4 linked regions of the Alligator mississippiensis genome follow. The protein of the gene in region 1 purifies or fractionates together with the protein of each later gene. This does not show direct contact. Links are inferred from orthologs where the notes say so. Each region holds a gene or a part of one and is shown in the gene's direction. Other genes may lie near its edges. The genes, in order: CRK, EDC4, PEAK1 and ASAP1.

What was found.
Region 2: the proteins of CRK (region 1) and EDC4 purify together in Homo sapiens (affinity purification with mass spectrometry; 3 studies listed by BioGRID and IntAct, with this or other methods). This does not show direct contact. The link is inferred for Alligator mississippiensis from reciprocal best matches to the Homo sapiens genes CRK and EDC4.
Region 3: the proteins of CRK (region 1) and PEAK1 purify together in Homo sapiens (affinity purification with mass spectrometry; 4 studies listed by BioGRID and IntAct, with this or other methods). This does not show direct contact. The link is inferred for Alligator mississippiensis from reciprocal best matches to the Homo sapiens genes CRK and PEAK1.
Region 4: the proteins of CRK (region 1) and ASAP1 purify together in Homo sapiens (affinity purification with mass spectrometry; 3 studies listed by BioGRID and IntAct, with this or other methods). This does not show direct contact. The link is inferred for Alligator mississippiensis from reciprocal best matches to the Homo sapiens genes CRK and ASAP1.

The regions. Positions count from the first base shown.
Region 1 is NC_081837.1:283,952-291,396, reverse strand, and holds the start of CRK (adapter molecule crk), read left to right. Parts: upstream 1-4,311; 5' UTR 4,312-4,372; coding exon 4,373-4,616; intron 4,617-5,598; exon of another isoform or gene 5,599-6,653; coding exon of another isoform or gene 6,654-6,729; intron 6,730-7,445. UniProt on the Homo sapiens protein: Involved in cell branching and adhesion mediated by BCAR1-CRK-RAPGEF1 signaling and activation of RAP1.
Region 2 is NC_081833.1:34,088,547-34,096,384, reverse strand, and holds the start of EDC4 (enhancer of mRNA-decapping protein 4), read left to right. Parts: upstream 1-4,698; 5' UTR 4,699-4,761; coding exon 4,762-4,837; intron 4,838-7,838. Other genes in the region: NUTF2 (nuclear transport factor 2), read left to right, coding at 1-52. UniProt on the Homo sapiens protein: In the process of mRNA degradation, seems to play a role in mRNA decapping. Component of a complex containing DCP2 and DCP1A which functions in decapping of ARE-containing mRNAs. Promotes complex formation between DCP1A and DCP2.
Region 3 is NC_081834.1:29,249,695-29,257,548, forward strand, and holds the start of PEAK1 (inactive tyrosine-protein kinase PEAK1), read left to right. Parts: upstream 1-4,752; 5' UTR 4,753-4,889; intron 4,890-5,331; exon of another isoform or gene 5,332-5,424; intron 5,425-7,854. Other genes in the region: HMG20A (high mobility group protein 20A), read right to left, coding at 3,099-3,106. UniProt on the Homo sapiens protein: Probable catalytically inactive kinase. Scaffolding protein that regulates the cytoskeleton to control cell spreading and migration by modulating focal adhesion dynamics. Acts as a scaffold for mediating EGFR signaling.
Region 4 is NC_081826.1:16,088,776-16,096,209, forward strand, and holds the start of ASAP1 (arf-GAP with SH3 domain, ANK repeat and PH domain-containing protein 1), read left to right. Parts: upstream 1-4,330; 5' UTR 4,331-4,849; intron 4,850-7,434. UniProt on the Homo sapiens protein: Possesses phosphatidylinositol 4,5-bisphosphate-dependent GTPase-activating protein activity for ARF1 (ADP ribosylation factor 1) and ARF5 and a lesser activity towards ARF6.

The DNA.
Region 1 (7,445 bases):
CAGGTCGCGGGCTACAGCCTCAGCAGCAATGCCCAACACCGGGCTGTAGTAGGGGCCCTCGCATCGCTCTTGTGGGGCTGGGCCTGGGCAGGGGAGAGCCTGGGGCAGGAGCAGTGCAGGGCTGCAGGGCAGGACTGAGGTCTCTTCCGAGGGGAGAGCAGTCCTGGCCACAGGTGCCCAGGAGCAGAGGGCTGGGCCTGCGGGGCATTGACAGGAGCGGGGTCTTTGTGCAGGAGTCCAGGACGAGCAGCGCGCGTCTCTGCTGGGTACAAGTGGGGGCTCAGCCAGGGCCGAGGGGCAGCCGGGAGAAATAGGGGGCTCCAGGACAGGGGTGAGGGGCACCCCGTGCTGGGGGGAGGGGGGCTGAAGGGTAGGATAGCGCTTGTTGGGGGCTTTGCCCCACTCCGCTTCCCCGCCTGGAGCCAGCTTGAAGGACAGGAGGGACGGCAACGCTGAGAAGTTTTCTCAACAAAGTATGTGAATACTCTGCACGCGTGCGCAACGTACGCGTTGTCTGCAAAAGTGAGGACACTGCTGTGTACACAGAAGCGAACATAACGGTGGGGAACGCGTTACACCGCTGCCCCTCGCTACGACGAGTAGCAGGATCCCTGCGGCTGTTACGGTGTGTATTGCGCACGCGCGCCCCCCCCCCCTTCTTGTGTGTGTCACACCCGGGACAGTGCCGAGTTCTTGGACGTCCATCTCGGAGCGGCACGTGCTCTGCGCCGCGGGCCCGCAGCCGGGCGCCAGAGCCGGCGGGAAGTCTCGCACGGCTGACCCCCGACGGCGGGCTTCCGCGTCGTTTTCTCTTTAAAATAGAGAAAATCAGCGCACGTCTTGTTAGCAGCGATTCGCCTCCCCTCCCCCGGCCGCGCCGGCGGAACGGGCCCGCGGGGATCGGAGTCGGACCAATGGGCACACGGACAGTGACACTCTCACCAATCCCAAACTCCAAATAGACCGCGGAGAAGGCGGGAGACCACCTGGGCCCGCCTCCTCCGGCAGAGGCCAATCAGAGCAAAGAAGGGCGGAGCGGCTCTGACCCCTCCCATGCGGCCGCTCCACCCAATCGCCTCACGCCTCGCTGTAGCCAATGGAAACGCGAGGCTGCGATCCCGGCCCTGCCGCGCTCCCCACGGGCCGTGTGTCCTCCCCGAGCAGCGCGACGCCGCCTGCCCCGGCCGCGGGCCCTGCCCCCGAGCCAGCCAGCGAGCGACGCCTTCTTGCTTCTTCCCTCCCCGCCGGGATCTCCCGCCTGCCCGAGCTGCAGGGGCGCGGCCGGAGCCGCTTCACTCTCGGTCCCCGCCCGTGTCTCCCGGCTGCAGCGCGCGGTGCGCGCCACGGGGCGGCAGCACTGAGCGCGCTCTGGTTTCTCCGGCTGTTCGCTGGCTGCCGGGCCCAGGGCGGCGCTCCGGGCCGGGGTGCCGTGCCCCGACCCCCGGCCGCCAAGCGCCGTGCGAAACATGCGCCGAAGGCACCGAGCCGCTTCCCGCCCTGCTGCCCCGCTGCCGCGCGCGGGGCGGGGCGGGGCGGGGCGCGGCGCGGCGCGGCGCAGGACGGCAGCACGGCGGGGTTGGTTGAACACTGCAGGGAGGGATGCGGGACACGGGACTGACGGACCCGGCCCCTGCCCCTGCCCGTCTAAACACGTGGCGAGGCGCAGGCGCCGTGGCATTAGGAGAGCTAAGCGGTTCCCTCCCCTCAGCGCGGAGACGGGGCGCGGCGCTCGGCTCACGCTGTTCGCTGCGGCGCGTCCTGCGCACACGCGGAGTGCAGATCTCGGGACACACGTCGCTGGCACACACTGCTCTGTCTAGGTGCAAGGTCGTCGAGTGCACAGCGCCGAGCACTGGCGCTTCAGTGCCCTGCTCCCCACATGTCACACCGCGGTCCCAAGGCCGCGCTAGAGCTGGGCTGAAGCGAGGCCTGCAGTGTTTTCCAAACAGCCACGGGCTGTCCTGTACCTTAGAAAAGAGGCAGCATCGGGCCGGGAGCGGGACACGCGCGGCCTCCGGGCCATGGGGCGTCCCCGCCCCTCCCTTGCCAGCCCGGCACTGCCTTCTCCGCGCCCGCCGGTCAGCTGAAGGGCGCCGCGGGGGATCGGAGTTGGACCAATCGGCAGGCAGAGCTATGCACACTGTCAATACAGCACAATAGCCAATCAGAATGTGGCCCAGGAGGGCGCGTTCCTCTCCCCGCCTTTTCTCTCCGCACAAACCAATCAGAGCGAAATAGGAACGGAGCCGTCCTAGTCCCGCCCACACAACCCTCGTAGCCAATCACCGCATTCACCTCTGCCAGGTGCCCGCCCGGGTCTCCCCGCCGCAATGCCCCGCGCGGCCACAGGAGGGCGGCTCTGAGCCCGGCTTTTCCTCCGCCTTCACGGACTGCGCCAATGCGCCGACGGGACCACAGGAGGGCAGCACCGAGCAGCGGGTTCGTCAACCCTCTGCTGCTCCGCTCCTTGTGGCTGCAGTGCTCGGAGCGCACCACCGGGGGGCAGCACTGAGCCGGGTTTGTCTTCACACCAAGTGCGGATGCGCGAGACACCTGTGATACCCGCACTCACTACAGACACTCGTGTGCGGTGGTGTGCAAGGGTGAGAGAGGAACACCTACATCACTATCGCCACTGAGAGAGACAGAGAGCGGTAGGAATAGGATCACTGTGTTACACACACGCTATGTCCATGCCGGTACACCCCCGTACTGCACTCCTCTCTGCACAATGTAAGTTCTTCAAAGTAAGCGCCGCAATGACCAACGCCGTCACTGCACCCCTGCTCTCAGTATTGGACTGCTCTACACCAAAGGGCCCAAACTCTCCCTAGAAGTGAACCGAGGTTTCCATTTTATTTTCCCGTTAAGAAGGGGTAATTTGGTGCTTTGCAGGGTGCTCTCCAGGGAGGTCTCGGCGTCAGCGCAGAAGCGAACGGTGTCCGCGGGGCCCACGTGCACCCCGTCGGTCACCGCCCTTCTGGCGTTGGTCTGTGAGAGCCTGGCTGCCCGCGCCCGGGGTCGCAGGGTCCCGCACGACCCGCCCTGGGCGCCAGAGCAGCTGCCGCAGCGCTGCGGGCCCGCCCGCGGGGGCCCGGCCCGGCCCGGCCCGGCAGCGGGACGTGGGCTCCGGCTCAGCGGGCGGCGAACGCGCCGGGCTGGGGCGCTGGGGATCGCAGTCGCCCAACATTTCCCGACAGCCAATCAGAATGAAAGCAAGGGGCGGGCGAGCCCTCAGGGCCCGCCTCCTCTGGTAGAAGCCAATCAGAGCGAAGCTGAGCTCTCCCGTGCGCCTTTCCGAGTGACTCGCAGCTCTGCTGACAAAGACAGCGCCCAACGGGAGCACGAGGCTCGGATCCGGCCCTGCCGCGCTCCCCGGCCGGGATCCATGCCCGAGAATCGTGCGTCCGCCCCGAGCAGCGCGAGCCGCGCCGGCCCCGCCCGCGGGCACTGCTCCGGTGACGCCCCGAGCGAGCGCGGCCTTTTTCCTCTTCTCTCTCCGCCCCTGCCCCGGCCGCACCGCGCAGCGCAGCGCAGCGCAGCGAGACGCACAGCCCGGCGCGCTGTCTCTCCGCCCTCGCCCCTGGCTGCAGTGCCCGGCGCGCGTCACGCGAGGGCAGCACCGAGCAGGGTTTTAGTTCCCTGGCTTTTGTTCCCGGCTGCAGGGGCGCGTTTGTGCCACAGGAGGGCGGCGCGGAGCCGGCTTTCGTGCTCTGCTCTGGTGGCCCGGTTGCAGTGGGCGGGGTGCGGCCCAGGAGGGCAGCACCGGGAGGGGTTTGGTTTGGTTTGGTTTTGACCACGCTACGCGGATGCATGAGTCCAAACCAGTTCGGTGTGTATGAAGTGCAGCTATTAAAATACACTGAGCTGCAAAGATCATATTTGACTACCTAAAGCGATTCCCCTTGTTGCGGAAGGAGGAGGAGAGAGGGATAGATCGGCAGGATCACTGTGTTTATTGTGGCACGTGCTGTCATGCATCCCTCGCTACTAGACACATCTCGGCACAGTTTCAAGTTCTTCAAAATAAGCGCGCCGTCAGTCAGCACGGGACTCTTGTACAGAAAGCATCCCCAGCTGCCCACTAGCATTGAGCCGCAGGGATTTCTTCCAGTTCTCACTGAACAGCAACGGGCTGGTTTTCATTTCTTTCTTTCTGTAAAGAAGGGGGACTGAAAAAGACCTTCCCGCCTGGACCGCGGACCACGTGGCCGAACCGGGCCATGCCCCCGCCCCTTGGAGCCACCGCGCACAGAGATGACGTTGAGCGCTGGCGCGCGACACGTCACTTCCGGAAGGTGAGGTCAGCAGAGGCGCCGCCATTTTGGGTGGCGGGCGGGCGCGCGGAGGGCCGGGCCGCGGCGCAGGGCCTATGGCCGGGCAGTTCGACTGCGAGGACCGGGCGAGCTGGTACTGGGGGCGGCTGAGCCGGGCCGAGGCGGTGTCGCTGCTGCAGGGGCAGCGCCACGGCACCTTCCTGGTGCGCGACTCGGGCACCATCCCCGGCGACTTCGTGCTGTCGGTGTCCGAGAGCTCGCGCGTCTCGCACTACATCGTCAACAGCCTGGGGCCGGCGGGCGGGCGGCGCGCGGGCGGAGAGGGCCCCGGCGCCCCCGGTGAGTGCGGGCTGCGGGGGGGTCGCGGGCTGCGCTCAGGCCGCGTCGCCCGGCCCCGGCCGCGCTCCCCCGCCCCGCCCCGCCCTGCCCTGCCCTGCCCTGCCCTGCCCCGAGCGGAGCGGAGCGGAGCGGAGCGCGGCCCCGACCCTGCCGCCTCCTGGCGCGGCGCGGCCAGCCTGCGGCGCTACCTGGCCTCGGGCGGGTGCGGGCGGCCTAAACCAGGAGACACGGGGCCAGTCTTCCTGCTGCGCCTGGGGGCCGGGCCGGGCCGGGCCGGGCCGGGGCGGGTGGCGCCGAGGCCCTCGCTTGAGGTAGGTGGCCTGAGGCGACCCGAGCTCCGACATTGCCACCCGATCCAGGCCCCAGCCGTCCCCCCGGGGCCCGGGAAGGAACAGCAGCATTTACGGAGTTTAAAATCTGGTGTTTATCTAAAGGGAAATTGAACAGGAAAATTCAAAAGTTAATTCAAATGTCCTTCCAAAGTTGATATTTGAAGAGAAATTGAATTGGACCTTCCTGGAAAAGAGTTGTATTGCGTTCTTTTTTCAGATCGGGGCCGTGACCGTGATGAGTTTTATGATTTCTTTAAGGGGCGCTTTGAGATGCAGTATGGCAAAGTTGGATGCGATTTGAAAAAAAATAGCCAAGTAATATTTAGCTACAGCATGAGGAACACGCCTCGTCTGTGGGTATCTCACGGTAACGATGTTTGCGGGGAACGCCGGCTTGCTGCCGGGTCACGCGCTGGGCGCAGGCTCGGTCCGGTGCGGCTGGTAACACGATCCCCGTGTCTGTATAAACAGGAACATGGAATAGGAGACGTCTTACCTGGGTGTGTGGCAGCAGTAGAAGCATAGCATACAACGTAGTTCTAGTGTTCGCATTGAAAAAAGGAGTAGAAAAATTGGGACCTTTTGGAGGAGCGATTACAAAGGCTGGATACTAGCCTTTATTTATTTATTTATTTTTTTACAAAAAAGTGTGTGTGTGTGTGTGTGTGGGGTGGGGGGGGATATATTCTGTATTTCCAGCAATAACACACTGAACACACTGTTGAAGTTGACCTGGCGTATACGTTGTTTTGAAAAGAGAGTATTGACTGTGTTCAGGAAAATTAAGTTAGATATGGGTACGTTGCTTAGTCTGTTGAGCCTATTGTCTTTTGCTTTGTGGCATGCATAACATTTGATTTGTAGGATTTATAGTAATTTGGTAACAGATTTGTGATTCGTATACTTTGTAAGGCTGGTTGGGACCTCACTTTTCCAGCTCTAGCTTTTCCCTCGTTTATCTTGACTACAGAAAAAATAATAAGTAGAGTAGTTCTTCTGTTGCAAAGAACTCAGACCATAGCAAGTCAGGGGTTTAATGCAGTGGATCCTTATGTGAAATCTCTGGGTTTATCTCGTGAATCATGTTTGTACACCTGAGAGTGTTAATGTGTGGCAACCTGCATCACCCTTGAAAAGAGCTCGAGGCAACCCAGGGTGCTGCAGCACCCCAGTTGAAAACCACTGGGGTAGAGAGTGGGATTTTAAAAGGTACAGTTGAAGAGCACTGGTCCCACTATTGAGTTCCTAAGTGACTTAGGCAAGCTTTGGAAGTTCAGTCAATGTGTTCAGGACCTTGAATAACCATCCTGTGGTGGTGTGCATTGCACAACACTGGCTAAAACTTCTTTTATTTTGCATATGGGCAGTTCCATTTAACAAAGTGAGATTACTTATGTGTAGGTCTTCCCATGTTTGAGGTTTGGAACCTTTCTTCCTTTTTGTGTCTTTGTGACAAGGTATTTAGCAGAGCTCTCAGATTCACTGCGATCTGGCAGGTTGCACGATGAGAACTTCTGCTCGGGCCTTGAAGTTGTGGTCTCTGGGCTGTCAACTGTGGGCCTTGGCACCCACACTGCCCCAGGGCTTGGAGTACAGCTTGTTAAGCGTTTAAAAGGCCACGCATCAGAAACTAACTCTGCTTCTGCCCCCTACTCTTCCGGAAGTGGATAGCACGATGCATCTCTTTTTGTAAACTAGTTTCCTAATGTGTTTACAAATCTGCTCAGGAGGTGTTGGGTTGTTACACGCTTTCAGCAGGGTAATGAGTAGATCTCTGCTAGGTAAGGAAATGAGTTTATGTTGCCAAATGTATAGTAGTAATTTCTTTATTTGTAGCTGCCTTTCCAGTTTGAAAAATTCCCTTTAATATCAGCAGATCATGTTTGCGTATCACATTGTTTATGATGCTTCATACTAAAAGTATATTTAAAACAAAAAAAGTTGGACTTTGAGGGGTCACGTGTTTTTTGAGATCTATTTAACAATACAGATACAAAAACTAATGAATAGAATAGCCAAAATCTATTAAAGAATGGATTTATTCTAGCTCATCATGAGAGCAAGAGAAATGATTGATGAAAATTGAAAAGCAGCTCTATGAAATAATGTTCTCTTGTCTTTCTAGGCTGCAGCTTCGTTTTTCAGTCATATTGAGTAATTACTGCATCTGCTCATTTCCAAAGTATTATTAATGATGGGAGGATGCAATATGTCCTAAAAAAATAATAGCATTTTGGTGTGCATAGTCGTAACAATTGTCCACTGACTTTTCAGGATGCTCTCTTGAAGCATTGCTTTGTCTCGTATGCTGTAAACTTCCTGTCCCACCTGTTTGCAAGATTGCACTATCTTGTTCTCCTCAAGAATCTGGCACTGTCGGGAGAAGTGTTGAGATCAAGGGAGAGAGAGATCTCATGCTAGTGCAGACATGCATGCACATGATTTGAAGGCAACACATTCTGAGGGGCAATGAGTCTATGTACAAAGAGTTCTAGGT
Region 2 (7,838 bases), on another chromosome or scaffold:
CTGGGTTTGCACCAATGACATGTTCAGGCTAGCGTTGCACAACTTTGGCTGAGCTGGCATCCCCCAGGCACCAGTGCTTTCTTTCTCTTCTCCTCTTCCTGATATTATTCACACTCACGGAACATTCCAAATATCATACACAAACCTGCAACACCGCAGCGAGTGAGTGAGCAAGACCTGTGATCTGCCCTTCTGCTGAGTTTACATTGTCACTAGATGAGTTCCTTGTGCATGATGTTTGGAAGTTAGACTTAGCTGCATTTGACAAGAGAAATTTGTGTTGTACCAGCATGCCTCGGAAAGAATCCATAATGCAAAAGGTTGCTTGTTTATGTACTGACAAGTTGCTTTAGTAACCCAAAGAAATGAAAGGAAAGAACAGCAGCCTATACAGCCCAGATATTCATTTGTTCAGATGTTTCAATGCTACATTACACAATAAAACCATGAGATTTTCTTAACAGTTTAAATTGTTTTAATGAGTGCATAACTGTAAATTTTTACAGTCAATTCTTTGGTTCTCCCGTGTCTGCCTCTCTGGGAAATGTTTACAGATCTAAAACCCTTGTAACCTTTTAGTGCTAACAGAACACTCCATCCATGTTTTACTGTTGCAGGTTAGGGCAAATATGCCTTTGCCATAGATATAGATATCTTCTCTTCCCTATCCCCCTCAGCGTGGAGGCTTTGGGCTCAAATGTTGATATTCCCCTTTAAAATACTCGATTTTGAAGTTTTTTCTTTAATATATTAATCTTTCTACATAAAACAGAAGATAATGCATAATCTTGACAATCCTGGTGACTTGCATAAGTTGATATCTGTCATAACACTTGCTGTGATGTCAGTCATTGCCAAGCCTTCCCTGCTAAATATGCCAGCAGTATTTCCCCTGTGTTTAAACACTGGGTAATATAACTTCCAACTTCCTTAATTGTCTGTAGAACCTTGAGGGGGTTTCTGGTTCCTTTTTCAAAATTGCATTTAGCTTCAGTGTCCTGGCTAAATTCCTGTTCTGGTTTAGCTTATCTAAACCTGTCCTGCAGTTTTGAGCTGGGTATGGCATTCTTTGTACTCTGTCCTAAACCAGTGCATAGTGTTCTTAATATTATGCAGCCAGCTGCTACATGTTGCCCCAAGGGTGGCAGCATTTCACTAGTGAAGTGCATTTATCAAGTATGTTTATATTTTCCAAGATAAAAAAGTGCCACATAAATAGGATTGGATTCTTCACTTCATAGCTGAATAGCCTGCTGGTTCCAGATTTCAAGGGCTCAGTATGCCCAGCTTGGTCTGATTTTTTTTTTTTTTTTTTTTTTCCAAAAGTGCACAGAACTCTGCAGTTTTGACTTTTAAGAAGCCAAGAAAACTCAGTATGATGTGCTTAGCTGCTCAATTCCTGAATTTCTGGCCGCTTAATTTGGTGTCTAAATTGGAGTTGAGCTTTCATGAAAACTGATCTTGGGGCTCTCTAAAATGATATAAATGTACTGTCTTTGTTTTTAGTAGTATTAGCAGTAACTTGCTCTTCTATTCCTCACTGTCTGTTTGAAAGTTAAATGGAAATAGAATACTGAATTTCCTATTATGCTCGTTTGGCATAGAAATAATTCACAGTGTTAATCCCTCCAAGGAATTAGTCCTTAAGAGAAAGATCCATATAAACAAAAGAGCCATTCTTTGTGGTCAGGAGCTACTGGAAAAGCCTTCTTTATGGTATTAGCCTCCAGTTCCAAATGCTTCCAGTCCACTCTGGAATCTGAGGGAGAAGGTCTGACTCTCCAGTCAAACCTGGTCTGCAGAAAGATCTTGTCCACCAAGCCTGGTTGGTTCCTGAGCATCAGCAACCAACTCGATGATTAAGAGCATGTGAGTAGATTAAATACCAGAGTTGAGGGATGCCCCTGATGGGTCTTTTAAAAAAAAAATCTCTCAGTATATGACCTCTTGTTCCTGGCAGCCTTTCTGACCTTCAGAGAAGAGAGCTATTAGCTGCCCTTTGAAGCTTCTTGCATAACATTATACTTTTCCCTTTCTCCACGTTCTGCTGTTCAGCCCTGGTTCGCTAACCAGAGGAGACATAAGTGCCAATTTTACTTCCTAAGTGAGCCAATGCTGCATAAAATGCTTCTGGGAAACCAGTGCATTCCTCGAGCCCTTAGTATGCGGACAAACTTGCTGTCTCTTAGTAACTGCTTCAGCTCAAGGACTTCTTTTAAGAAGAGAAGCCATTTGGTCCAACATTAACTGTTGTATTGATGGGTCATGCACTAGTATCCATTTCTCGTCGCAAATGTTGGACTGAAGACTAGTCACTTTCAAATGTTAAGAAGGCTTTTAAGAGGGATAGGGACAAGTAAAGTTGCTGCCCCTTTTAATTCTCTTAGGTGGGAGAAGGTTGAATTCTTTATACCTGAGATTCTTATTCTAAGCAGCCTGTCTTGTCCTGCCCACACTGAATGAGATTTGGAGCCATCTCATGCTTAGCTGGGCTGGAACATCATGTTGGCCTTAATATTAGCAGTGTTAATAGCCATATTAAAAAGGTGCCTTAAGAAAACTCCTTGAATGTGATTCTTGCAGGCATTGGGCACTCCACCTACTCCCATGTGTTGGCTAGAGGATGGGCAAGGGAAGACCATTTTCTCTGCATCTAAGACGGGAATGACTAGCTTATGTTTGCAATTAACTTCTCATTGTGAATATTACCCTCCAACCCTAGTGTATTTATAGTTTATTTTTCTTGATGGCAATTATGTACTGCAGTTGCAGGCAGTATAGATAAATATCTAGATTTGTCTTGGCTAGGGAAAATGAGTTCTGATCCTGGCCCAAACTGAAGGGGGAGAATTTTTAAGGTAGCCTGCACCATATACTTGAAATTTCTTCAGTTGTGGAAAATGGCACCCAAGAGGCATTGTGAAAAAGCTGTGCCAAATGTATGACCACCTGGCCCGGTCTATTAGCTATCATGCCAGAGCTGCTTTTTTGTGAATGGACTGGAAAGCCTTTATGCTTTTTGTCACAAATAGGATGACTACGTTACCTCTCTCTAAGCTAATACTTCAAATGTGACCCTCCTTCAGAATACCTCTGGGTCATTATTTCTGTCCACTAGATGTAAAAATAAAATGTTACCAAGAGTTTTGCTTATGTATTACTGAATAAAACTTGGCAGTAGGTGTCGGGAGAGAGCTTACACAGTACCATATGGAGGGCATTCTACATACTTAGAGGAAAACATCTTTGTAAAATTGTAGACAATATTCAGCAATAGCTTTGCAGGTAATATCAGGTGAACAGTTATGTGGAGTAAAATTATACATTTAATATAAACTATTGTATGATGTTGGCTTGTTCTGATTGTACCTGTGACAAATGTGTTAATAAAGATTTCTTTAACAAATGTTACTTGCTTGAGCCCAAGCCTAGAAAGTAGAGGTCAAATTATGGCTGGGACCCGGCACTCAAAAAACCAGAGAAGACTTGAGAACCATTCAGTGGAGCTGTAATGGAACATTCCTATCTTTGGGTACTAACTGAAAGGTAACTAAACCTAACGACCCTTGCCAGCTCACCCTCCTTCCTTCCCAACCCCTGTGCTTGGAAGGATGCTGTTAAAGTCATGCCAGTTCTGTAGCAGGCCAAATTTGTTCTGAGTACCTGAAATTCTTGTTAAGGGAAGATCTCAGATCTCCCCAAATGCATTAAATGTGGCTTTCTTTCCTGAACTGTAGTTGTAGGGACAGCAGCTGCCGTCTGTGCTTTCAAACTGTATTGGGTGGGAGAGCTTTCTTCTAATGGAAGCCAGCTGTTGTTTTTCACTCCCTCAAGAGCAGCCAGAAGCCTTCCTGCAACGTTGTCTTGACACACGCTTCAGTACATCCCTTCCTTCCTGCAGTATGGCCCACAGTGGTAAACCTGGTCAGTGCTGTGAATTTCATGCTAAGTGCCATGTGACATTAATAAGGTGTCTGGCATAACTGAAGGTTAAGCACAAGCAAGTAATTTTTAACTCAGCCAGAAGCAGCAAGTGAAAGCAGGCCAGGGTACTGCATCCTGTATCCTCTAGCCCTTGCCTACTACAATCAAAGTAGGCAAGGGCTGAGGCGAAAGCAAAGTGGTATCTATCTGAGATCATAGTATTCCCTGCTACTTTGGTTGGAGGAAGATGGGTTCTGGTTAGGTCCCAAGTGAGCTGAAAGTAGGTTCTGGGAGCAAACCTCCACCCTTGGCTCTACGATGAGGAGGTCAGATGTACATGTCCTGGGGCAGAGATGCTTCTGTGCAGCTGGGAGGTGGCAGCCCATTAGGACAAGGAGAAAAGAGGTCAACTGAGAAAATGGCACTAAGGTTTCCTCCCAGCCCCAGAGCAGAGGGAGGCTCCCGGTGCGGGCCTGGTCTCCCAGGGGAAGCCGAACCGCAAAGAGCGGCGCAGGCCTCCTGCAGGGAGGCAGGACCCGGGAGCCGCTCTTTTTCTTTGGCGGCGGTTTCCACGGGCTGAGGCGGTCACGGGCTCCGACTCGGACGCCTCGAGCTGCCGAGGGAGATGCAGCTTTTGCCGCCCGCAGGCAGGGCTCGGCCCGCCGGCTCCGCTCCTTCCCGCCGCCAGGCCAGGGCCGCGCTGCCCAGGCCCCGCCCCCTCGCGCGGAACCCGAGGCGCTGGCGCCCGTTTCCGTCGGAGCCGCGGCTAACGGACCGGAAGCGGAAGTGGGGGCGCGGCCGGGGGCGCGGAGCGGCGGCAGCGGTAGGGCTGGGCCCATGGCCTCCGCCAGCATCGACATCGAGGACGCGACCCAGCACCTGCGCGACATCCTCAAGCTGGACCGGCCCGGAGGTGAGGCTGCTGGGCCGGGCCGGGCCGGGCCGGGCACGCGGCGCCCCTGTGCGAAAGTGGGGCTGGAGCCCGCCGGCCGGGGCAGGGCGCGGCCGCCGCGGGCCGGGGCCGGCCCTCGGGCATCCCTGCGCCCCGCGGGACTGCTCGCTCCCCGCGCCCCGCCTGTGGCGGCCCCGCGAGCCGAAGACTGCTCGTCCCCTCGCCGGCGGCGGCAGGAGCCTGCAGCGGTCCCTCCCTGCCGCCCCGGGGGGAGGAGTGAGGCGGGGAGGGGCTCCCCCGGGTCCAGCAGCCTAAACGTGCTCCCCGGGAGGTTGTGGGTCCCTCTGTAAACTGTGGTCCGGCCCGGTCTGGTTCCCAGGCCAGTCCCTCAACTAGGCCTTGCCCAAACAGTCGCTGGCTGAGAGCAGCCACCCTGGGCAGGGGTCTGATTCCCTTCTCTGGACCCAGTCACGCAGGTTAGGGAGCACTTGGCATTTTTGACTTGCACTGCCCCATTATTGATGTGGCCAGAACGCAGCCCCCAGGAGGCTCTCTCTTGCCCTCGTTTCAGAGGCTCAGTCCTCCAGGGCCCCTGCCCAGCTTGCAGCACTTCATCCCTGGGCATCAGCGTGCCAGCACGGGCCTCCATGGGGAACATCTTGTGTGTCCGACCATCCTGCTGCACATGGCAGAAAACCTCACTGGCCAGGTCCCATGGCAAGTTTGGTCAACATGTGTTTACATGACGAGCTATTTACTTTCATTCAAATCAAATTACAGGAGCCCCCCTCGCAGGCTGCCAGCCTGGATCTCGGAGGGCTGTTGTGGGTGGGGAGGAGAGACGGGGGCAAGAAGCTTTGAAATGTTGAGCTGCAGGTACTGTTTTCTGTACTTCAAGCCTCATTAGATTTCTTAGCTCAGTTTGAAAGTTAAAATAAATAGTGAAAGAAAGAAGAGTGTTAAACCCTTGGTTCATCTTCCTCTCAGCAGCTCTCTATCAGCTTTCTCTGGCTTTGTAAGTGGTGAGGCCTACCTTGGTTTAATAGTACCTGTTATGTTTCTGACGCTTTGCTACTTGACAGGGCCCTCGTGTGACTGTCACTCAGCTGCCTTAGAAGTTTCTAATTCCATACACAGTGGGCACGTCTACACAAGATAATGAGCAGTAGACTAATTCTACTGCACATTAGCACATCATGGCAAAAGCTGCGCTAATGCGCAATAGTATTAGTCTGCTGCATATTAAGCATCATGAAAAGACCGTGCACCGATGCTACTGTGCAATAGCAAAGGTTACTGTGCATTTAGTTAGTACTTCATATTCCAGGTACTAAACTTAATGCACAGTAACAATAACGTATTACTCCACGTGCAGAGGCACCCAGTGTTGTCCAGGTTGCAGGCTCAGAACAGTGGTCTGAATGAGTAGATTATGTTCAAGCCATTTATAACACTTCCGTTTTGTTGTGTAGTTATATCCATTGTAGTTGTTCTTGAACCATGCTCAAGCTTTAGACTGTCCACCTATTTGGAAATTATTTGTCTTCCTGATCTAGGCGAAGACTCTTCTTATTCCATTACCCTGATAAGAGCATTTGATGCTTAATCTATGTACATGGGCAGTAGCAGCCCTGGCAACTTTGCTTTCCTCTTTAGTCTCATGGGCTGAATCTTCACCCCTTTGATGTAGCCATGGAGAGCAGGTTACACTACCTGGTCCGTACACAAAAGGTGAGCAGGAAATATGAGGACAGAATTAAGATTGGCTAACAGAGAATTTCCTGGTTTTCATTTTTTGTCTTCACTTTTGAGAGTTTGCAGGGGAGTTTCTTTTCTTACCAGTCTGATGATGTGATTGGATTGTTAGCCCAAGGATAGTCTGAAATAGAGCCTTCATTAGAATTAACCCCTTGTATTCTGGAATGGGGAATGTGATGCCCTCTGATTCCCTTTCACTTACTTCTTTATAGGTTGTTTTCTGTGAGGTACAGTAGCTGTAAGCAAGTGCTGCTCCAGTAGCTCAGATGCTCCTGGTTCATAATTCCCATTCTGTTTTCAGGCTCTTTACTGGATTGTCTGGATGGGCCACTTAGTCTCTCTGGAATTGTCCCTCTGTTCCCATGATGGATTGTTCACTGTACCCTCTTTAGTCCTGCTTATCTGAAGAAATCTGATCTCTGTCTCAAATCTTTCTTTCTGTTCTCTCCCAAAGCAGGAACAATCATCTGCATTGCCTGCTGAGTGATCCCACCGGTCAATCATGTGTTGAGTGAATGTATTTATTTATTTACCCACAAAAGTGTTTTGTAACACATTGAAACCGTTCTTTGTGGTTAGTTAGGGTGAATTCATCTCAGCTTTTTTTGGTTATTTTAAATGTCTTCTTTTTGTCTTTGGTTTCTTAAGCAGGCCCAGGGTTACAGTGCCATTTTTTTAAAATCTCTCTCTCTCCTCTATTGCAACAAATTTATAACTGCAGAACTGTCTCTGCCTCTTACACTAAAACCAGGTTCATTCTACTATCACTGTAGTGGCAAGTATCTGCTCCATCAAGGGCCTAGAGAGAGGGCCTGGATTTTGAAAAGAAGGTATGTTCCATAGTTATCTAAAACTGCTTCTCTTGTTTCAGGTGGCCTGGCTGTTTCCTAAAGTACGAAGAAACTTCTGGTGGGAGCCAAGAAACTGATTTAGGACTATGGTTATTCTGTCGTTCTCATCTCTCTTCCATCGTAATTATTATTCCTCCTCCTTAGGTCTTATTTTCTCTCTGTGTTCGCAGACATCTCTACTTATTTCCATCTTATGTCTGTTTACATCTCTGGCCTGTCTTCTCCAAAATATTTCTAAAAGTAAATGCTAGTTGCCTTGCCCTGGAGTTGGATGGAATAAATTTGCTATCTGCTAAGCAATGGTTTTGTTAGGGAAACCCTGTAGGTGTCAACTGGATGTTAAGAAACTGGTAATAGAACCAGAATCTGCCTCTTTAAGGTATTCTCTAACTCCCAGAAGAGGAAGGGAGGAG
Region 3 (7,854 bases), on another chromosome or scaffold:
AAGAAGATTCAAGTGGCATTCCAACTGCCGCCTACTCTGAATAATTGACTTGCCTTGGCAAATAAGGAGGTTTACCTTGCTACTCAATTTAAGTGTTAACAATAAGTATTTCTAGCTCTAATAGTCAAAAAGATAATTTTTCAAGCACAAAGCAAGTGTATCAGTATAGAGATGCCTTTGTAAAATAGCTCCTCAGTCTCTGGTAATCATAACTTTGCCATGTCGCTGGGAAGCAAATATCCTGCTCAGCTTCTCTCTTTTTATTCAGAAGTTTATGAGCTTCAGTGAAATTGTCAACATAGCTTTGCACCACTACATTGGTCCATACCATATCAGCATTCATAAAAGGAAAACTGACATTATTGGCAACCGACTTTTTTTGGCTGATGTAGTTAATAATGCTGCCAATAAATGCCACGTGCATGTGCACAGCTGCAGCACAGCACACAGGTGGCCAGGAGCACAGGTCTACAGTGTGAAGAGCAGTGTCTGGTTGGTAAGTCTGTTGTGGAGGAAAGGGCATGGGGGAAGGAAGCAGTGTGGGGGGCAGACCGAGTCCCCCACATCCCTTCCCTCCCCCCAAAACAGACTTACAAGGCGGATGCTGCTCTCCATGCTGCCGGGCTGCATATTGGCAATCAGATTGATATTGGCTGATATGGCTCGTTAAGAGTGGGCCATCAGTATTGTCGCTCCCCCTACCCCGCAAGAAGAATCACCATCAGTGCACCCCTAGTTGAAAGAGATAGAATAAAAACAAGAACATGAAGAACAGAAAAATGGAGGTCTCCTACTTCACAGAAGCAATGACATTCTAGACAGAAGGTTAGAAACCAGACTACATTCCTACTGCCCCCACCCCCTCCTTCTAAGAAATATGCCGATAAAAAGGTGAGCCCCACTTAGGGATAGCAGATACCCACCTAGTAGAAATCAGCCTCCTTGCACAGCCAGCAATGCTAAATGAATCAGGCTTTTTGCCAGATTATTGCCTCTGGGCCCAAATACAAGTCCACACACTTCATCTTTCACATCTATTGGCGAATTGGCTAGAGGGTCGCACCCAGAGAGTCATGGTGGATGGGTCGGTTTTGACCTGGAAGGGTGTGGGCAGTGGGGTCCCGCAGGGCTCGGTCCTGGGACCAATACTCTTTAATGTCTTCATCAGCGACTTGGACGAAGGAGTGAAATGTACTCTGTCCAAGTTTGCAGATGACACAAAGCTATGGGGAGAAGTGGACACGCCGGAGGGCAGGGAACAGCTGCAAGCGGACCTGGGCAGGTTGGACAAGTGGGCAGAAAACAAGAGAATGCAGTTCAACAAGGAGAAATGCAAAGTGCTACACCTAGGAAGGAAAAATGTCCGGCACACCTGCAGCCTAGGGAATGACCTGCTGGGTGGCACAGAAGTGGAAAGGGATCTTGGAGTCCTAGTGGACTCCAAGATGAACATGAGTCGGCAGTGTGACGAAGCCATCAGAAAAGCCAATAGCACTTTATCGTGCATCAGCAGATGCATGACAAATAGATCCAAGGAGGTGATACTTCCCCTCTATCGGGCGCTGGTCAGACTGCAGTTGGAGTACTGCATGCAATTCTGGGTGCCACACTTCAAGAGGGATGCGGATAACCTGGAGAGGGTCCAGAGAAGGGCCACTCGTATGGTTAAGGGCTTGCAGACCAAGCCCTATGAGGAGAGACTGGAGAACCTGGACCTTTTCAGCCTCCACAAGAGAAGGTTGAGAGGCGACCTTGTGGCTGCCTATAAGTTCACCAAGGGGGCACTGAAGGGAATTGGTGAGGCTTTAATCACCAAGGCGCCCCCAGGGGTTACAAGAAATAATGACTACAAGCTAGCAGAGAGCAGATTTTGACTGGACATTAGGAAGAACTTCTTCACAGTTCGAGTGGCCAAGGCCTGGAACGGGCTCCCAAGGGAGGTGGTGCTCTCCCCTATCCTGGGGGTCTTCAAGAGGAGGTTAGATAGGCATCTAGCTGGGGTCATCTAGACCCAGCACTCTTTCCTGCCTATGCAGGGGGTCGGACTCGATGATCTATTGAGGTCCCTTCCGACCCTAACATCTATGAATCTACTTCTGGATAATAGAGCTGGTTCTACAATGAAAAAAAGCACCCGATTCTTTTTTGCTGAACCCTAGGTTGAAATGTTTAAGATTAATCCATATCCTCTACTTTACCCATAATAATAGTTTTCCTTAGGATCAAACATGCCAAGGTCGATCTTCAGATCTATTGGAGACTCCGAGAGAGACAGGAATGTCACTTCCTTCTGTTTTAAAATAACTATGATCTCTGTTTTTGCAAAGTATTTTGTAATCATTAGATAGATGAGACTATAAAACACAAAGTATTTTTAGTGTTGTCAGTTGCTTCTGCCAGCAAATGTTCGATGCAAATATAGTGTTAGAAAAAATATGAAAATAAAAATCATATTGAGTTTTCACTTTGAATAAAAGCAGGTAACCTGCACATTGCTACACATGTGGGTCTGTTAATGTCTTAGGTGCTATCATGAAAACAAGTCTGTTCACAATATATTTTTTGGTTTATACTTAAAAAAAAAAATAAAAATCATCACACACCATTCTACAGTGACAGTAAGTGTACTCTGGTGAACATGCAGAGCTCTGGAGTTCTATTCCCAACTTTGTTACTGATTTCTTATATGGTCTTTAAGGAAGTTAATCTACCCAAATGCCTCAATCTTCCCTCATCTGCAACATAGGGAGGGATAAAGTTATGGGGAAGGTGGGAGGGGGGGCATAATTATCAGATCCCTACTAGCAAGCAGTTAACTTTACACAGAAGTGATAAATATAATTTTCTTCCCTTCACCCAATTTCAGACAGTAGTCCCAGTAGGAATGGCACTGTCTAACTTGTCTGGAATTGGGAATCTGGTAGATTCCTAATAGGAATCAGCATTTCATGTCAACTTCCAGACAGAAGGAACTCAATTTAAACCTGAGGCCCTTCTCAGATTATTCTCACTTCCACTTGTTTTCTCTGTACACCATAGAGCAACCTGACTGCTATGAAGTTGCAAGTTCTGGCTGATACAAGATTGGTACAACTCACTCTTCCATTCAAGTTGTTTGAAGACTTGGGGCTGCAGCTGCTCCTAGCTTCCTTAAGCAACAACTCTGTAACACTCACAACTCTCAGCTGTGTTTATTTCAGTCCTGGTTCACAGCAAGAGTGAAAGGACCGAGTTCTTGTCAGGTTTACACAGCTACAGGCCATTCTCAGCATTTTTAGATGCAATGTTTTTAGATGCAAGGCACCCCTTGGAAAATATCAGGTTAGTTTTCACTCGTGTTTTGACTATGGAAAAAAATAATACAGAAAAAATAAAATAAAGATAATTAAAAAAGCAAAAAAACCCAACAAAAATAATACAAATAATAAAATATCAAATTCACCCAAGGAACCTTGTCTGCCTGTCCTTAGGCCAACACGGCTGTAACCTAAACCCCTGCATACAAATAATAATACATTCTTCTGTTGCATTCCAAGTTACTTACAACCATTCAAAACCACTTTAAACACTGTGGTTTCTTATCTGAAACTGCTGGGCTCATCTTGTGCCTCACATTTCCACCCCTACGTGTGCTACCACTACAAGGATCCTGCCGAGTGCCACGAAGGGACCTCAAGCACCCCACTGTGCCACGACACCTGCTCCAGCAGCACTGCTCCAAGGCAAAGCAGAGCACTGGAGGCCTTTGGGCGAGGACAGGCCCTCATGTTCAGGGAACAGATTGCGCTGAAGTGGATTTTCCAAGGGGAAGATGTTATCAGGAAGCTCCCTACTGTGGGGGGCATTAATAACCTAAAAGGCAAAGTAAACCCCCATCACCACCACCTTGACACCTCGTCGCCCTCAATGGGGGCATAGAGGGAGACTCCTCCCCACGTCCTTTCGCCTACAGCAGGCCCTGGCCCAGGTGCCTCAGCTCCTCGGGGGACGGGCTGGGCCCAGACGGGCAGGGGGGAAGGAGCGCGGGACGCTGCGAGGCCTCACGAGACCGGTCCCCAGCCGCGGGACGGAGAGGGGCGCTGCCCCCGCCAGCCCAGCCCAGCCCACCCTCACCTCACCTCACCTCACCCCACCCCGCCCCGCCCGGCCGCGGGGAGCAAGGCAGCGCCACCCACACTGACCTGGCGCGGCCGCCGCTGCCGGAGGGCTGCCCCCGCGAAGCCGCGTCTCGCGTTCCTCGCACTACACACCACCACACGGCCGGGCCACTTCACCCTAGCCTGGATCCCTCCGCCCCCTCGCACCCCCGCTCCCAGACTTCTGCCTCACTTGTGGGGAAGCTCCTCCGGGGGCCAAGAGAGGAAGCGGAAAGAACCGGACACTCCCTCCACCACGGCAAAGAACGAGACTAAGAAAGAGCGGAGAACTACTTTGTCCCCCCACCACGACGGAAGAACACTCGCACCATAGGGACGAACGGAACCAGTTCATTTTTAAAGGGGCCGGCGGCGGGGCGCGCGCGGGGCACGCCGGGAGTTGTAGTCTCTCCGGCCGGAACGCTCCGACCGCGCTTCATCCCGGCCAATGGATGAGGTGCTGTCGCGTCGGCTTCAGCCGGGCATGCGCAGAACTGAGCTCAGGGGCCGAGAGAGCTCGGGGGGCGCGGTGCGGCGAGGCGCGGGGCGGGGCTGGCCCGGCGGAGGGGGCGGGGCTGGCCCGGCCCGCGGTGGCGGCGGCGGCCGGGGCTGGCGCTGGCGCTGGCGCAGCAAGTCGTGGTGCGCGCGGCTCCGGCGCTCGCTCCGTCCCGGACCCGGGGCTCGGCCGCAGCGCAGCCGGGGCGGGCGCGCCCTGCTCCTGCCCCGCGCCGCGCGCAGCAGGAGCCCGCGCAGGTACTGGGGGGCCCAGGGCAGGGCAGTGCCCCGCGGGGGCTGGGGGGTCCGTCCCGTTCCGCTCCGCTCCGCTCCGGGGGCGCCCCTGCCTCGGGGCCCGGGCGGTGCGAGGCCGTCGTGGCAGTGGCTGAGGGCTTCCCCCCGCTCCGGCGGCCTCTCTGCCAAGTTGAGGCGGAGGCGGGGCTGCTCGTGGCCGAGGCCGGAGGGTCCCGGGCGCCCCGAGCCCGGCCCCGCCCCGCCCGGGAGCCACCGCCGGCGCCCTGTTCGCGGCCCGGGGCGCCGAACCGGAGCCGCCTTGTCCCGTGCCCCGCCCGCGCGCGCCGTGGCCGCGGAGGCCGTTAGTGTCGCGTGTGGACGCGGCCGCCGCCGCCTGGGCGCCGGGAGCGGAGCGAGACCCCGAGGCCGCCCCCGCCCTTCGCTGCTGCTGCTGTTGCTTCGTCGGGGCTTGGCTCCAGACGGTGCCTCGCTCTTCTCGGCTCCCCTCAGGCTGGCGGGTGGAGGCCGGGATGCTGTTCACTCCTCTTGCAGTGCCGGGGTGAGGGCCCGCGAGTGTCTGGGCTGCCCGGCAGCTGGTCCTGGCACGAGACGCCCGGTTCTTTGAGCTGGCACCAGGAGGAGAAACGTTCATTGATGCGTCTCCCAACTTGGAGTGAATCGGGGGCTTTATTTTTTGGCTGCTTTTGTTTTGTCCAGCTCAGATTTCTTTGGGCTTTGATCCCCTCCCCCTCCCCCCCTTCCCCTGGCTGTTTAAAGGTTGATTCATGTCTGCTGAAGTACTTAACTCTTGAGTGGGTTTTTTTGTTGGGTTGGTTTGGGGGGGGGTTGAGCCTGTGAACCTAGGCAGGATCTCCTTGTCAGGGGGCGCCTGACAGGAAGAATTGTCTAAAACGATGCCGGAGAGTTGTTTTAAAATTCAAGGTGGAGGCTTTGAGACCTTTGCCTTAAAAACAGTAGATGGAATTTTAGAAATTAAACAATGGGTTTTGCCACAAGCCATTTAAACTCCCTTGGCTTCACAGTGCAGAAGTTTACAAACTTGATGGTCATACCTATTCTGACTTAAGTCCATTTAATTTTGTGTCATTGTCTTTGGTGAAGGAGAGGGGTTGTCGGTCAGTTCTGCAGTTCGATCCCAAGTAGCAAGGTAGAAGACGAAGAACGTTTTCCTTGGTCATTTGTCTAGGCTTCCCCTGGTTTCACCTTTAGTTTTTATTACCTGAAAGATTTTTAATTTGCCGAAGTAGAAACTGATGATTTGTCCAGATGAAGCATCTTCTTGGCAAACCTAATGCTGTAGTGTGTGTTTCAGGAAAACCTCATGTTGCTTTTTGCAGTGTGGAAGTATGTAAGTAGTGAGTTATCCACTTTCCATGAGTAACTTTCCATGAGTAATCCTACGTACTCATTCCTTGATGGGTTTACCTTATTGTCAGAGCATCTGTGGAGATGGCTCCTTTCAGTGTATTTCCAGATTCTGTTTTTTATGCGACTTATCATCACTCTGACTCACTCATAATGATGCCTGCCATTGCATTTCATGTATTTCCTTCCAGTACTTAACAAACACAACTTTAACCCCAAGGAATGAGTTTAGTAACCAGAGTAAGCTTTTCTTTTTAATATTTACAATTTCACATATGCGAGCTGTTAAAGTTGTGGGTAGTTTCCTGCAGGGATGCAGGCCATTGAATTTCTTATATATTGGTTTTTTCACAGCATGACATGATTTTGAGAAGTCGCAGCGCCTGAGTAAAAGGAGTCTCCCCTAAATCAAGAGATGTAATGATTATGTTTTTAACATAAAAAATAAACACATAATATGTACTTGTGCAAAGGACTGTTCCAGACCTTTGGTGACACAAATGATTTCTTTTTATGTAACTCCATATATTCCCATTCTAGAGTTTTAATTAAGTGCATAGTCATGCATATGCTTACAAAATAGCTGAATTAATTGCAATAAATTCATGCTTAGCTCCATTACAGGGAGAAGAATTTGGACAAAACAGATCTTTAATGGTCTCTGATATAATGGAGAAAATTAAATGTTTTATTATGAACTGCAGTGTGATCACAAGTTATTGTTTAGGATCAGAAATGTTAACAATAGCTATTATGTTTCTGTCATCTTAAGAGGTACATGAAAACTACATTCCCAAAAGCAAGGTGAAACTAGACCATTTTCTCTTTTATTGTTATGTTTATGCTTCTGTATCTTTGTTTTTTCCTCTTTCAATTTGTGGCCTTTTACATCCCCTCCATTATCTGATGGGCTTGACTATTGTTTTTCTTTACTTCTCTTCAATCTAGTCACTTTTTGACAAGATTTTCTCTTCTGCTGCTGCCATTGGTTTGAAGTATTTTGCCTTGTTTTGCGTGTCTGGCTGCTGGGTCCACTTTCTCTTGAGCTCTTTACGAATGGAGCCAGAATTTCAAAAGAATTTATTAAGCATTGATCATACAGTAGATATTCCATATATACTGCCACTTTCCACACTTATTTCCACTTCCTGAGTTGCTATTCATGATGGAATCCTGCTGAGCCGCTTCGTCATATGCAATCAGTGTGTCACAGTTCACGTTCCTGTATTAGTGGGATATCGAAATACAGTGTCTCGGCTGTAGGTGAGGGAGAATTTGTCTCATGAGGATGTATTGCAGATGTGAATATTGTAAGCATATCTGTCACAAAAAGGGACATTAAAGATAGAAAATGAGAATGAAAATATCCGACCTGTGATCTGGTTTAGGTTGTAGCCGTGTTGGTCTAAGGACGTAGGCAGACAAGGTTCCTTGGGTGAATTTGATATCTTTTATTAGACCAACCCAAATAGTTGGAGAAAGTATTTGGGTTGGTCTAAAAAAAGAGATCAAATTCACCCAAGGAACCTTGTCTGACCTGTGATCTGGATTTTATAATTCTTCTCTGTTGAATTACTGGTATATAATAACCCCAAATTCTCCT
Region 4 (7,434 bases), on another chromosome or scaffold:
GTAGATTGAACCGGTAAGCACGTGAACAGACATTCACTTTTGATTCTGGAAATGCAGCCACCTCCCTGCAGTGGCCCAAGCTAGAAGCCGGTGGGTGCTAGAGTACACCTCCCTGCTCACCTGGAGCAGACAGTTTGGGCCAAGGCTAGCCGGCATACCCTGTCAGAGGTGGGTTGTGGGGGAGGTGCAAAGCATCCTGGGATGCTGGGGGATTGTGAGCCAACTTGAATCTGGAGAAGTTCAATAAACTGCTTTAACCTAAATCTGTTAAATCTGATACAACATCCATCCAGGTTTATCTTAAACTGGTTTTGGCCATTGTAAAAGCAATTTATGCACACTGAACTTCTATTGTGTTACAGATTTGAACTGGTTTCCAATTATATATACCAGTTTATGTGTATTTTCTATCCCTAGCCTCTAAGTTAGTGTCAAGGCTCTTCTCATCTAGTTCAGTAAATTAACAGACCTTTCTTTAGTGGATACTGCAGCACTTATAGTCTTTCCTTGCCTTTTGGTTTCATAGTTCCGGTGTTATCACTTCCACATTTTTCTTTACCTTTGTTTTTGCAGGACATTTCCTTATCATTTGTTTTTATCAGATTTATCATTCCATTGAACATTCAGCTTACTCTTCTCCATCTGACTAGAACTGATCATAACATTTTCCAGTAACACCTGTCCAATAGCCAACCAAGCTTTGATCAAATGAACGTATTCACAGAAAGCAGCCTTTTTTCTCAGTATTTTCTTTTTTCCTTGTTTGGTTTTCAGCAGTTTTTGACTGAAAGGTTAATTTTGATTGGGGTTTAATTTTTGACAAATCAAAATTTTCCATAGAAGAAACGCATGAAAATGTTGTTTTCTTTGCAACTTTCCAAGGGGAAAAAAAAGAGAACTATTTTTCTAACCAGCCCTGCATCTAACCATTTGCTTCAATACTGGAAATAAAAGCAACAGCAATGGTACTTAAAGGGCACATCTACACGAGATGCTATGTCGCCATAGCAACAAGCTATGGCGATGTAGCTCATCGCTACGGTGATGTAGCATCAGCGGGCACTAACAGTGACACCACCGCTACTGTGCTGTAGCAACGAGCTACTGCGCAGTAGGGCTGAAAATGAGCCGTGCGCTGCCAGGACCCCGCAGTACTGGCAGATACTGCGGAGTCATTTAGTACATGGGATTTAGTACCTTAGCAAGCACTAGAAGACTGCACAGTACCAACTGTGCAATCGGGCATTTGTAGACATGTCCAGTGTACAGTAAAACTGGCTAAAGTAAGCTGTCTTTTTATTGCTATTCCTTGCTCACCCTGAAGTGAGTTCTGGCCTACAAAAGAATGCAGATGACCTCTAACAGATTTACAGCAGATGTTAGTAGCAGTCCATCATAACCCCATCTTCCTGACTGCTTTCTTCCATCTGACTCATAGTTTTCAAATGAAAAGCATTTTGATTGAAAATGGGGGTGGAGGGGGAGTGTTTCAGAAACAATAGTTTTTATTTTCAATAAAATGGGAAAAATGAACAATCCATCTTGTCTTTCTTTGCTGTTTTTGATCCTACCCTGTCTTTCTTTTGCCACTAAAAGCATGGAGCAGAGAAACAAAGGGGGAAAGAAAAGAGGTGGTGAGAAGAAAACTGAGGAAATGAGAACTTTCTTGGAAAAAAAAGTGAATAAAGTCATTGTGGCATGCAAAGGACACAGACATTTTTGCTTTTTTTCCCCCAGCTCGACTTCTTACATCATTAGGAAACCATTAGGCATTTGTTTTCACCTACTGCATTCTGCATAATGAAAACTTTGCATTTCTAAAGCTAAACTGGTGTTTTCTTAGGAGATGTATTTATAAGGATTCTTTAGTTAGAGTTCAAGCCATGTGCAAACAGAGCAACTTTCTGGGCCTTTTTTCAAAGTCTAGCTTTGCAAACCTGTGCTCCACCCTCCAAGTTTAAATTCAGCAAGACCTTGTGGGTGCCAGCTCCTCTAATTTATGGCAGTGATATCAGTGGCCTTAGGCATCCTGGCAGATAGGAAAAGAATGATGGGGGGTTGTGAGGAATTCAACTTTCCATGACTCACAAACAGGCCAGCAAACAAAGCTGCTTTCTCTGGGAAAATGTGAGGAAAAGAGTAAAGTGGAAGCACCTTTCTACATATCACCTTTTCTGTCGGGCCCACTGCTGCTCCCTCTGGGCTGGGAAAGGGAGGATGGACTTGGAGGTACTTTCTCATACAAGATCCACCAGAACAACCGTGTTCTGGGACAGTGCTCATAATTATGGTTAGACTGAAACTCCGGGCTGGAGTTAAGATATTTCTGGTGAAATGTTCCTGGCTATGGAATGACCTACCTAAATAGACAGGACTGAGCTTCTAGGCTTGACCCATCTTCAGAGCATCTTCCCCAAGCCTGTTCAGAAAAGGACTTGGATACAACCATGATGGAGCATACAATTCAAAAAGGATGTGGAGAAGCTTGAGAGAGTCCAGAGAAGAGCCACGCGCATGATCAGAGGTCAGGGAAGCAGACCCTACGATGACAGGCTGAGAGCCCTGGGGCTCTTTAGCCTGGAAAAGCGCAGGCTCAGGGGTGATCTGATGGCCACCTACAAGTTTATCGGGGTGACCACCAGTATCTGGGGGAACGTTTGTTCACCAGAGCGCCCCAAGGGATGACGACTAGGTCGAATGGTCATAAACTACTTCAAGACCATTTCAGGCTGGACATAAGGAAGAATTTCTTTACTGTCCGAGCCCCTAAGGTCTGGAACAGCCTGCCACCAGAGGTGGTTCAAGCGCCTTCATTGAACACCTTCAAGAGCAAACTGGATGCTTATCTTGCTGGGATCCTATGACCCCAGCTGACTTCCTGACCTTTGGGCGGGGGGCTGGACTCGATGATCTTCCGAGGTCCCTTCCAGCCCTAATGTCTATGAAATCTATGAAATCTATGAAAAAGCAGAGTAAGAAGCTGAACCTAAAAGAAATGACAAATCCATCATGCTCATCACTTTGGGATGCCTGGATTTACTGTCTATATAGTACAATATAAGGTATATTACATATACCTGGAGTATAGGATTTCCAGAAGAGAACAGTCTAGCTGGTGCAGAATGTGGCTATCCACTGCTGAATAATGTGGATGAATGAGAGCAGATTATTCCTATATCCAGTACCCTTTGCTGGCAACATGAAATTCAGTGTGCTAGCTCCCATGTGTAACGTTTTTAAGGACTCAGGAAGATCCAGCTACCTCAGGCAGGTGTTATATAGTTTGAGCTACAATGAAATAAGTGAACTTGTAAAGGAGATGGGAGGCAAGGCATTCATAGCATCATGACCTTGCCTTAAGTAAGAATTATTAACATAAAGAATTCACACAAGGCTACATTTCAGAAAACATAAATATGTCCCTATCCTGCCAATGCAAATGTGTTTGGCTTTGTCCATTTGAATGGTTCATGGATTTCCATGGGATTGCTTACACGCAAAGTTAAGTACATATATAAGCATTTGCAAAAGCAGGGATCAATTATCCACCTGCTTTTGCAAAAGACTTTATAGGGTCTTTAAATAATAAGGGTGCTGAGAACCTTAATTTGATATTTTCTCCAAATCAAATAAAATAACTACAGAAAACACCAAAAGATGTCACAAGCAAGAACCACAGCAACTTGCTGGCGTTTTTATTGTTGCTGTAATTTGTTTACAATGGAAAATAAATCAAAAGACAAAGTGGAAAGTCCTTCCTTAGGCAGCACTCTCCTTGTTTCATCTGAAGTTTTCCCTTAATACAGGCTGCAGGGTTTGCACCTAAAGTAACTGACAAAATGGAGTAAAAGTATATATATTTTTTTAATTCCCTGTTTCTTTAAGAGCTCTCTCTCTCTCTCATTTTTCAACTGCCCTTCCCCCATTCTGCTGCAGTCAGCAGAATAATAAATCATCAAGTGGTACCCTGAAAGTAACACATAAAAAGCTGTAGAAATCTGAAGTTACAGCAAAAGAGAGGGGAAAAAAGTACGCAAAAAAATCTAGATGGTAATAAAGCAAACACAGGACTAATAAGTGAACATGCTTAGCAGCACAGACCTTCACTATTCTGCTTTTGCAGTATTCAACTGCAATATCATTTCATTGTCAAATAAGGAATACTAACCTAAAAAAAAAAAAATTGCACATTTTTTAACTGAAACGTTGCCGTGCAGAAATCAAGAACAATAGAGGGAGAATCTTTCTCGGCTGTTAGGTTTTCAAATCAAAAGGGGTTTAAGCCGGGTGTTTGCTGCCCAGGCTAATGCACAATGAGAAGCTGTTTAGACTTTTGAACCCCGCTGGACAGATTAGGTTACAAGGCAGGTTTGATTTCAGCTCTGGCTGTCAGCAGGGGAAGGGTTAAGGGGAGACGCGGCATGTTAACTGTATCTGCGGAGATTCTGGAATGTTTATCCAGTGTTCAGATTTCCTGTTTGAGTGTTTGGATTTCCTGAAATCCTGGCTATCAACCCAAGTGCTGCCCCGTGAGCAGACGCTTTTTTTGTTCGTGCGGCTCACATGGTTGGCTTTCCTTCCTGCTCTCTTCCCAGTTGTAGTGCCTGTGTCTTCTCACCGCTCAGGGCATTCATGGATGCAAACCAAAACTTTTAACCTCCAGAACTCGGTGGATCCTCCTCCATTGGATTGCACTGGATTTGATTTTTTGTCTTACTGGGATTAATAACTGAAGAAACATGGTCTCTTTCAGCTGCTTGTGGGAGAATATATTTTAGCCTAAGATGGAATAATGGCCTTAGGTTTGAGAAGCAAATTTGGAATGGGAATTCAAACCGCACAAGTCCTGGTGAGTTCCAGCCCGTTGCACCGAGGTGTGGTTGGTATTGTAACCTTTAGTGCTGAGACAGTGACCGAAGGGGAGCGTGTGAACCGCTAATCAAAGACATAGATCCCTGCAACTGAAGAGTTAGGATTTGTTAGTAATGCTGGTAAAGCCCATTTTTACTTTTGTGCCATGCGGGCTGTTTGCAGGGCAAGCTAACCATTAATGAACTTTACCTGAGCAAAACATACAGGTGGACTCAATTCTGAAAATGCTTCCTCCTCCAAAGAGCCCCTACTCACGGGAGTAGCCTCCTTAATTTTAAGAATTGTTCCTGTGAGAAAGAGATCCTGGAGGTTTAGGGCCACTGCTGGTATAGTACAATATCTTCATCTTAACAACAAAGGCTTTTAAAAAACATAGGGATTTTATATCTGGCTTGTAAAGATATCTCTCCTAGGCCCTTTTGCATGCCATTGTTCATCTAGTTTTAAAAGGAATTTTGCAAAAAGAATCAATGCGCCAATTTTTTCCTATCATCTTTCCCAAAAACGAGTAGCAAAAGTGATAATTGGGTGCAGTGTGTTACTAGGGGCCAAAAAAGGGACTGTTTTGTATTGTAGGAAAATCACTTAAAGATACACTGCAGCGAATCATTTCTGAAACTGGAATAAAATATAAGGCTTAATGAACTTTATAACTTGGCTTTTGAATAGGAGGGTGCATGAGAGTGGCATTAGCGATACATTTTTAATAGAGCCGCAGTCACAAATGCAGGGTCTGATGGCCTCAAAATTGAAGAGGAATTCTTAGGGCTCAATCCTGCAGACCTCACCAAGTCACATCTCCCATTGAAATCACGTGAGCATGTTGTCTGTCCACAATAGAAGCTGCCCTGTTGTAATGTATTTTATTGTGCCCTGAAATAAGTATCTAGTGATGCTGAACCTTTCTAAGTTGTCTGAATTACTTTGAGGGTTTTTTTGCTGTGGCAGGGGGATTACAGTGCCCCAGAAATTGCTTAGATACTAGGCAACAGTTGCACTGGAGGTAGTTTTTAGTTTACTTGAAATATTTACACTTCAGCATTGTCCTCCCAGTGGAATAGTGAAAGCTTCCTGAATTTTAATTTTCAATATTGCGGGTCTCAGGTAGTAAGGCAGCTTTCAGATTAAAATTCTGGGTACCTTAAAGTGAGAAAATGCTTTGCCTCCTTTGCATTTGTAAATGGAAACTGCCTTTAATGTGCTTCATCCAGGTCCGTGAAGATTTTGGAGGTTCTAAACAATGGCATTTTTTAGTCCTCCCACGTCTAGCACAGTACTTTAGATTGAATCCTGAAAGCGTGAGTCGAAGTCACCAGCAGATTTCTGTAAGCAAGGCTGACAGGATAAGCCTTTTCTCCTTTCCTTCCATTAAGCTGGCAGCTATGCTGTTTTCCTTGTATTCAGGTTGTGATGCTGAAAAGAAAATAATCACTACTTTACTTGATACATGGAAAGTCAAGATACCACACTTTGCACAGACACTTACAATCAGATGAACAGCTCAATAGAAACCAAGGAGGGATGTGAGTGAGAACTTCTGAACCACATAGGGATATATCAGATTAGATTTTTGGTGATAACGCTGTGTGGAAAAGACAATGTATTAATTTGGCTATTAGTTGATAGTCTCATCTCCAAACTGGCCTATCTACAACACTCGTAGGAACCTGAAATGAATGAATTTCTAAATCAGAAAGTCCCTAATGATAGTCAAATGTCAGAAAATTCAGAGGGTGAGCAGAGATTAAATGTTGAAAAAGGCTTATCAGTCTCTTGGGCTTGAAAATATGGTTGACAATCTAATGAGAATAAGTGTTTTTTCTGTGCTTTCTGGTTTGGGTTACGCTGGAAATGCGGTGGAAATAGCTTTTCTGGTGGTATTTTGGTATTTCCTCTTTTGCTCACACCCAGAACCAGGAAGTGTAGAAGCATAAACTTTACTTCTTTGTGTGTGCTTTTTTTAATTGTGACCTCTCTCTTCCTTTCCTTTTCTTTTCTTTAACATAGCCCTCAAATATTTTAGAGTTAGTTTGATTTGGACGTTAGTCATTATTTAGAACTCTTTCTGCAACTGCAGAAAGCTATTTTTCTTTAAATACAAGTAACTAAAATACTAGTTTTAAATATTCAGAATGCAGTAGTTTCAGTCCAGCTACCTATAGGCATGTGTGAACAGGACAGTCATAGACTCATAGAGAAGTAGGGCTGGGAGGGACCTCCAGAGGTCATCTAATCCAACCCCCTGCCTGAAGCAGGATCATCCCTGTCCAAACCATCCCATAATTTAAACCCTACATAAGACTACCATCAATCTGACACAACATAGACCTAATACCCTAACCTGCTACAGGTAAGGCAGGAAAACCACATCAGCCAATGTCCTACTTCTATAAAAGGTTGTCAGTATATGCTCAAGAGATCCCAGGTAGAGGGTCGTGCCCTCTGCTACCGATGTGACCATGGGGTAAAATTCCTTCCTGACCCAAATATGATGATTGGTCTGACCCTGAGTGGAGGGACAAGACCTTCTACCCAGGAACCTGTGGCTTTGCTTCTAGCAGG